Oryctolagus cuniculus: one gene and its partner. The protein of the gene in region 2 interacts with the protein of the main gene of each other region in a biochemical or structural test. Links are inferred from orthologs where the notes say so. Each region holds a gene or a part of one and is shown on either strand. Other genes may lie near its edges.

What was found.
Region 1: of the proteins of CARD9 (region 2) and TRIM62, one has a biochemical effect on the other in vitro, tested with the Homo sapiens proteins (4 studies listed by BioGRID, with this or other methods). The link is inferred for Oryctolagus cuniculus from reciprocal best matches to the Homo sapiens genes CARD9 and TRIM62.

Annotation. Positions count from the first base shown.
Region 1 is NC_091438.1:139,416,585-139,420,728, reverse strand, and holds the start of TRIM62 (E3 ubiquitin-protein ligase TRIM62), read right to left. Parts: upstream 2,804-4,144; 5' UTR 2,233-2,803; coding exon 1,825-2,232; intron 1-1,824. UniProt on the Homo sapiens protein: E3 ubiquitin ligase that plays a role in antifungal immunity by mediating 'Lys-27'-linked ubiquitination of CARD9 downstream of C-type lectin receptors; leading to CARD9 activation, followed by activation of NF-kappa-B and MAP kinase p38 pathways.
Region 2 is NC_091432.1:236,667,472-236,670,395, reverse strand, and holds part of CARD9 (caspase recruitment domain-containing protein 9), read right to left. Parts: intron 1,531-2,924; coding exon 1,351-1,530; intron 1,245-1,350; coding exon 1,101-1,244; coding exon of another isoform or gene 1,036-1,100; coding exon 910-1,035; intron 1-909. UniProt on the Homo sapiens protein: Adapter protein that plays a key role in innate immune response against fungi by forming signaling complexes downstream of C-type lectin receptors.

The DNA of each region.
Region 1 (4,144 bases), on a different chromosome or scaffold from region 2:
TGGCACCTGCTAGGTACAGGCCACCTACCAAGATTTGCATGGGTCAGGGTTGGGACCCCTGGGAACAGAGAGGAAGGGCAGGTGTTGTGGTGCAGTGGGTTAAGCTGCTGCTTGTGGTATGGGCATCCCATATCCAAGTGCCAGTGCCTCGCTTCCGATCCAGCTCCCTGCTGCTTGTACCTGGGAAGGCAGCAGAAGATGGCCCAAGTACTTGGGTCCCTGCTACCCATGTAGGAAACCCAAAAAGAGTGCCTAGATCCTGGCTTCAGCCTGGCACAGCCCTTGATGCTGCAGCGATTTAGTGAGTGAACCAATAAATGGAAAACATCTCTCTCTCTTTCTCTCCCTATTGCTATGCCTTTCAAATAAATAAAACTTTTTTTTTTCAAAAATGAATGCTTTAAAAAAAGAACACAAGGGAAAATAGGTACTTAGCTCCTGCTTGAGAGCTCACTACCTCCTGGGTGAGCCCAGTCCATTTGCATAAAATGTTTCAGCCAAAAACCTGCTGCTTCCAAACTCTCCACGATCTGGGCCAGCTTAGAACAGAGTTGGTCATTCATTCACTCTTTCTTTCATTCACCTGTACTGGCGTGTCCTGGGGGCCAGGTCTTGCACCAGGCTCGGGGGCCACAGCCCTGCCCTTGGGAAATTGTGTGCTAGAATGGTATTGCAAAGCCAGGTGCATGGGGCTGCGGATTTAAATGGTGTGGATTAAGAAAAGGATTCCAGGTTCAAGCAGGCTTGGAAACCATTTGATCAAACACAGTTAAATAGGCTCATTTGCTACAAGATTTCCCCAAGCCTTTAATAGGCAAATGCTCACAGAGAATCCTCAGGATGTAGGTGTGTGATAATAGAAAGTATACTATGCTTCCCAAATATAGCCTGTCTTGGAACACATCTTTTTTAAAACATCATACTTGTTCATAGAGAGTATTTGAGGAAATCTTTCTCCAGCGCTAGGTTTTTGGCTGGTGGTGCTGGGGGAAGGCTTCATGGGGCGGGGGACACTGTGTAGGGTTTGGGGAGCTGAATGGCTCATCAGCAAGGTTTAAGGAAGATCAGTTACAGTTCTCCTCTGCTTGCCAAAACACCTGATGGCAATGATGAGCGAAGGGAGCCATCAAAAGCCCCGGAGGCCATCTCCCCTCCCTCAACTCCAGGCACCTCCGCTCTGGGTCTCCTTCTCCAAGTCTTTCATCTTCAAGCCTCAACCTGGCCCCTTCCTCTGGTTTACATCCAATACGGTTCTTACAGGTGTCCGACCTTGACTGTGCAGCCTTACAGAGCCGGGCCTCACCTAGGCACCCAAACGCCCCACTCTGACCCCTCTCAGGTTTACCCGCATCCCCCCCGCCCTCCCCCGGCCCAGAACAACGGAGCCCGGGTACTGATGCAGCCATACCTGATTCAGGTGCTGCCCTAGAGGCGCTCCTCCCAACCCGGCCCCCTCAGCTCCTCGCGGCGGCCCCGACCCCTGACAGCCGCCCCGCCTTCGCCTGGCCTTCCTCGGGCTTGGCCCCCTGGCTGCCCCAAGCCGGGCACTTGCTCAGCTCTGCTGTCCCGTGACTGCGCCGCCTCACCCCACCCTCGCCCTCTCCCCCACCCCGGGCCCGCCCCTACTCCAGGTCAATCTCAGATCCAACCTGGCAGAGACAGCCCGAGGCCCCGCCCCCGAGGCCCCGCCCCTTGCCGCTGCCCCACCCCGGATTAATCCTGATAGGCCCCGACCTCGCCGGCGGCCCCGCCCCGAGACACCTCCGAAGGGGCCGTGCCCGCGGGCCGGCCCCGCCCCCGCCCCGGGCCGGCCGGGCAGCGCACCTGCAGCTCCTCGAAGGCGTCGTCGATGCCGGTGACCTGGTGCTGCTCGTGCAGCGCGGGCTCGTCGCAGAAGAAGCAGAGCAGCGCGCGGTCCGTGAGGCAGAAGAGCTTGACCTTGTCGTGCGCCTGGCAAGGCCGCGCTGCGCGGCGCGCGTTGAGGATGGCGTCCAGCGGGAAGGCGCTGTAGCGCTCCACGATGTTGGCCAGCTTGAGGCTGGGCGCCAGTGCGGGCTCGGCGAAGGTGCGCCGACACTCGGGGCAGTCGCGGGCGCCCTGCGCCTCCTGCCGCACCCAGTGCTCGGTGATGCAGCGGCGGCAGAAGTAGTGCTCGCAGCCCAGGCTCACCGGGTCCTGGTAGATGCTCAGGCAGATGGAGCACAGCAGCTCGTCCTTGAGGCTGCACGCCATGGCGCCGGGGGCGGCGGGGGCGCGCGGGCGAGCGCGGCGCGGCCGGGGCTGCCCAGGGAGGGGCGAGGGGACCAGGATCGCGGAGGAGGGGGTGCCGTCCGGGAGGGGCGGCGCGGGAAGGGTTAAGGGTAGAGACCGCCTGGGATGAGCGCCCGGGGTGGGGGGCGGTCCGAGGTGATGGGTGGCCCCGAGAGCCAGGAGCAGCAGGAGGGGGGTACCTGGCGAGCGAGTTATGTGGGGAACGGGCAGTCCTAAGGGAGGAGTGCTGGGAGCAGGGGACTCGGGAGTGGGGGCGGAGGCCTGGGGGGGCTGAAATCCGGGGATGGGGGCAGTGGGGGGAGGGGGAGAGGCTGGGAATGGGGAGTCCAGGGGGAGGGGGCAGCCAGGCTGAGGAGCACAGCGGCTGTGCTCTGCAGGAGAGAGGAGAGGCGCCGGCCTGCTCCACTGCCCGAGCCCCGGCCCGGCGCGGTCCCTTACCCCGCCGGCTCAGCAGCCACCGCTTCGGTCCAGCGCAGCCTCTCAACCCGGAACCAGCCGAGCCCGAGCTGCCGGCGGCCGCGACTCCCTCCCCGCCCCCGTGGGCGGGACCCGAGCGACTCCGCCCCCGAGGCGGGCGGGGGGAGGGGTGGGGCGGCCCGCCCCCCACCCCCCCACGCGGCTGCTCCTGGAAGCGCCAGCCCAGCTGTTCTGTAGGGTCTGCACAGGGAGGGCGTCTAGGTCTCTCCTGGAGTCCTTTCCAGGGGCTGGGGTGGGGGAGGAGGAAACAGGTAATTGCAGAGGGCAAGGAATAAACAAGGAGCGTCTTTCCGGATCATCAGTTTGAAGAGTTGGGAAAAAAAATCAGGTTTTATATTGAAACAAACAAGGATATGTTATGTACTCCGCACAGCGCGCAATTTTTGCCTGAAATAAAAAGGTGAATCTTGAGAGATACCCTCAGCAGCAAGTTCAAGGCCCTCACACTCCAAAGCGTATCTGGGGGAGAAGTTCAGAAAGCCCCGGCTAATGTCCATCCCGTTGGGCAAACATTTCTGCATGTGTGTAAGGGGGAGGGGGTGGCTCAGGAGCAGAAAGCATAACAGGAGCCCACGTCTGGTGTGCCAGATGGAGGGGATAGGGGATTACCAACGGGCGAGGCGCGAAAGGGGAGAACTTAGGGCGGTGGGGTGGGGAAGGGCCTTGGGGGCGTGGGCAGCCTTGAGAGTGGCACTGGGCTCTCTGCAGGGAAACGACCTGGCCAGATCTGGGTTTCAGGAGGTGCTCACCGTGGCGTCGCAAGGTGAAGGCAGGGACCAGGGCCTTGCTCTGATGGGTGTGTGCAAAGAGCTCAGGACACCACAAAGGTGCACAGCTGAGTAGCAGCAGCAGTGGCAGCGGCTGCGAGGGTTGGGGGGGAGGGAACAACACCGGGCCCCAGGGAGGTTGCGGTTGCCATAGTGCTTGTGGGAGGTGAGACCTGAGACCTCCAGCAGTGGGTAAGGAGAGAGGACGGGGCCATTGTGACTGCATTTGGAGGTGCGGGAGAGGAGGGAGTCAGCCCCCCCCTTCCGCCTCCTTTAGCAACGTCTTCCCTGGACTGAACTTGACTGAGGCATGGCTGAAGAAGCCGCTCTTAGTTCCCTGCTGCCTGCCAGCCCTTCATCACACAGTCCCCTGGCCCAGTGTCCCCAGCCTCGCTGGAAACAGGCTGTGGGCTCGAGCAGCAGGCACTGCTCCTCCTGGCCGTCGGAGCCTGCTTCTGTGCAGATGGATCCCACGGCGTACGCTGACACGCACCCCTGTTTCCTTCCTTCCAGCAAGCAGGTTAAGGGCTAGGTTGCTGAAGCGTTTGAAATTAAAACGGGCTTGATGACGGATGAAGCCATGGCTTTCTTATCCAATGCCTATCTGCTGATATGACTCCAGCAGACCT
Region 2 (2,924 bases):
AGCGCCTGGGACCAGGCCCCGCCTCTGCTCCTGATCCAGCTTCCCGCTAACGCACCTGGGGGTACTGGGCCCTGCCCGCTGTGGGGGAGACCCGGACGGAGCCCCTGGGGCTGGCCTCAGCCTGGCCCAGCCCCGGGTGTTGCAGGCAGTGGGGGCGAACCAGATGGAAGAGCTGCCACTGCCCGCAAATAAGCAAAGCTTAAGAACTGGCACTGTGGCGCAGCGGTTAAAGCCTGCAGGGCGGCATCCCACATGGGCGCCGGTTCTTGTCCCGGCTGCTCCACTTGCGATCCAGCTCTGTGATGTGGCCTGGGAAAGCAGTGGAGGATGGACCAAGGCCTTGGGCCCTGCACCCGCGTGGGAGACCTGGAGGAGGCTCCTGGCTTCGGATCAATGCAGCTCTGGCCATTGCGGCCATCTGGGCAGTGAACCAGCAGATGGAAGACCTCTCTACCTCTCTCTCTCTCTCTACCTCTCAAAGAGATAAAATCTCAAAAACAAGGAGCATGATGGTCTGTGCTGTGTGAGACGCCCGCCTGTCCCCACTGGGGGCCGGCCAGCCGTGGGACACCGACACACAGAGGGAACAGGGCCACGGGCAGGGGCAGGGCAGAGTCTGGGCCCATCAGCGCCCCCGCGGCCGGGACTTGATCCATTTTTGTCCCTATTGGGCCACCCAGAGGCAGCCAGAGGTCCCGCCTACCAGCCCTGCCGCTGCCTGCCTCCGAGTCCCGGCCGCTCTTCTTCTTTGTGTGTGTGTGTGTGTGTGTGCAAGTCCTCCTCCGCCCCCAGGGCCCCCCCCCCAGGTGCTGGTTTCTGTGTTAGAGCAGCTCCCTGAGGGTGCATCGTGGCCGAGGGGCGCACCGAGGGAGACCCCGAGAGCGGGGAGGGCACTGGGCCCCCACACACCTGGTCCCGCTCCAGGGCCACCTCCTCCATCTGCTGCAGCACGGCCTCCATGCGCTCCTTGTAGAGCCGGGCGTCCTTGCGCAGGGCCTGGCACTGCAGGTCCAACACCTCCTTCTCCTCCGCGCACTGTGGGGACGGCCGCTCAGCGCCCCGCGGGGAGGGCGCCCGGCCCCCAGGGCCCCGCCTCCTACCCGGGCGCGGAGGGCCTCGGCCTGGCGCAGCTCCTTGCGCAGGGAGAAGACGGTGCCGGCCTGCTCCTGGTGGTCACGCAGCACCTGCCGCCACTCCTCCTCCAGCACCTGGACGTAGGGGCTGCTCCGCTCCCGCGTCCCCTGCTGGACACAGAGCGGCCGTCCCGCGCGGCTCCGCCCCCGCCCGCCCCCGCCCGCCCGGCGCCCGGCGCCCACCCGCCCCCGCCCGCCCGGCGCCCGGCGCCCCCACCTGCGCCGCGGCCTCCAGGTCCTGCACGCGCGCCTCCAGCTGGGCCTTCTGCTGCTGCAGCTCCCACAGCAGCTCCTGGCTCGGCCGCTGCTCCATGGCGCGCCGCAGCCGCAGCGTGTGCTTGCGCTCCACCGTGCAGTCCTCCTCCGCCCGCAGGAGGCTGTGCCGGAGCCCGTCCACCTGCACGCGGCTGCCGGTCAGCCCGCCCCCGGGCCAGCAGCCGGGCCCCAGGCCTGCGTTCCCCACCCCCGGGCCGGGCAGAAGGGTCCCCAGCATGGCTTGCGGCCCCCGCCGTCCCCCAAGCCAGGCAGTGGGGCAACCAGCCTGTGGCCCTCGACCCCTGCCCACCAGGCCCACCCCAGGCCGGGCAGCGGGGTCCTAGGCCTGCATTCCCCACCCCCCAGACTGGGCAACGGGGTCCCATGCCTGGTTCATAGCCCCTGTCCCCCCAAGTCCACCCAGGCCAGGCAGTGGGGTCCCAGGCCTGCAGCCCCCACCCCCCAGGCCAGGCAGTGGGGTCCCAGGCCCGGCTCCTGGCCCCTGCCCCCAAGGCCCACCCCAAGCCGGGCAGTGGGGCACCCAGCCTGTGGCCCTCGACCCCTGCCCACCAGGCCCACCCCAGGCCGGGCAGCGGGGTCCTAGGCCTGCAGCCCCCACCCCCACGCCAGGCAGTGGGGTCCCAGGCCTGCAGCCCCCACCCCCAGGCCAGGCAGTGGGGTTCCAGGCCCGGCTCCTGACCCCTGCCCCCCAGGCCCACCCCAGGCCAGGCAGTGGGGTCCCAGGCCTGCAGCCCCCACCCCCACGCCAGGCAGTGGGGTCCCAGGCCTGCAGCCCCCACCCCCAGGCCAGGCAGTGGGGTCCCAGGCCCGGCTCCTGGCCCCTGCCCCCAAGGCCCACCCCAGGCCGGGCAATTTGGTCCCAGGCCCACCCCAGGCTGGACAGTGGGGTCCCAGGCCCACCCCAGGCCAGGCAGTGGGGTCCCAGGCCCGGCTCCTGGCCCCTGCCTCCAGGCCCACCCCAGGCCGGGCAGTGGGGTCCCAGGCCCGGCTCCTGGCCCCTGCCCCCCAGGCCCACCCCAGGCCGGGCAGTGGGGTCCCAGGCCCACCCCAGGCTGGACAATGGGGTCCCAGGCCCACCCCAGGCCAGGCAGTGGGGTCCCAGGCCCGGCTCCTGGCCCCTGCCTCCAGGCCCACCCCAGGCCGGGCAGTGGGGTCCCAGGCCCGGCTCCTGGCCCCTGCCCCCCAGGCCCACCCCAGGCCAGGCAGTGGGGTCCCAGGCCCGGCTCCTGGCCCCTGCCTCCAGGCCCACCCCAGGCCGGGAAGTGGGGTCCCAGGCCCGGCTCCTGGCCCCTGCCTCCAGGCCCACCCCAGGCGGGGCAGTGGGGTCCGAGGCCCGGCTCCTGGCCCCTGCCCCCCAGGCCCACCCCAGGCGGGGCAGTGGGGTCCCAGGCCCACCCCAGGCTGGACAATGGGGTCCCAGGCCCACCCCAGGCCGGGCAGTGGGGTCCCAGGCCCGGCTCCTGACCCCTGCCCCCCAGGCCCACCCCAGGCCGCGCAGTGGGGTCCCAGGCCCAC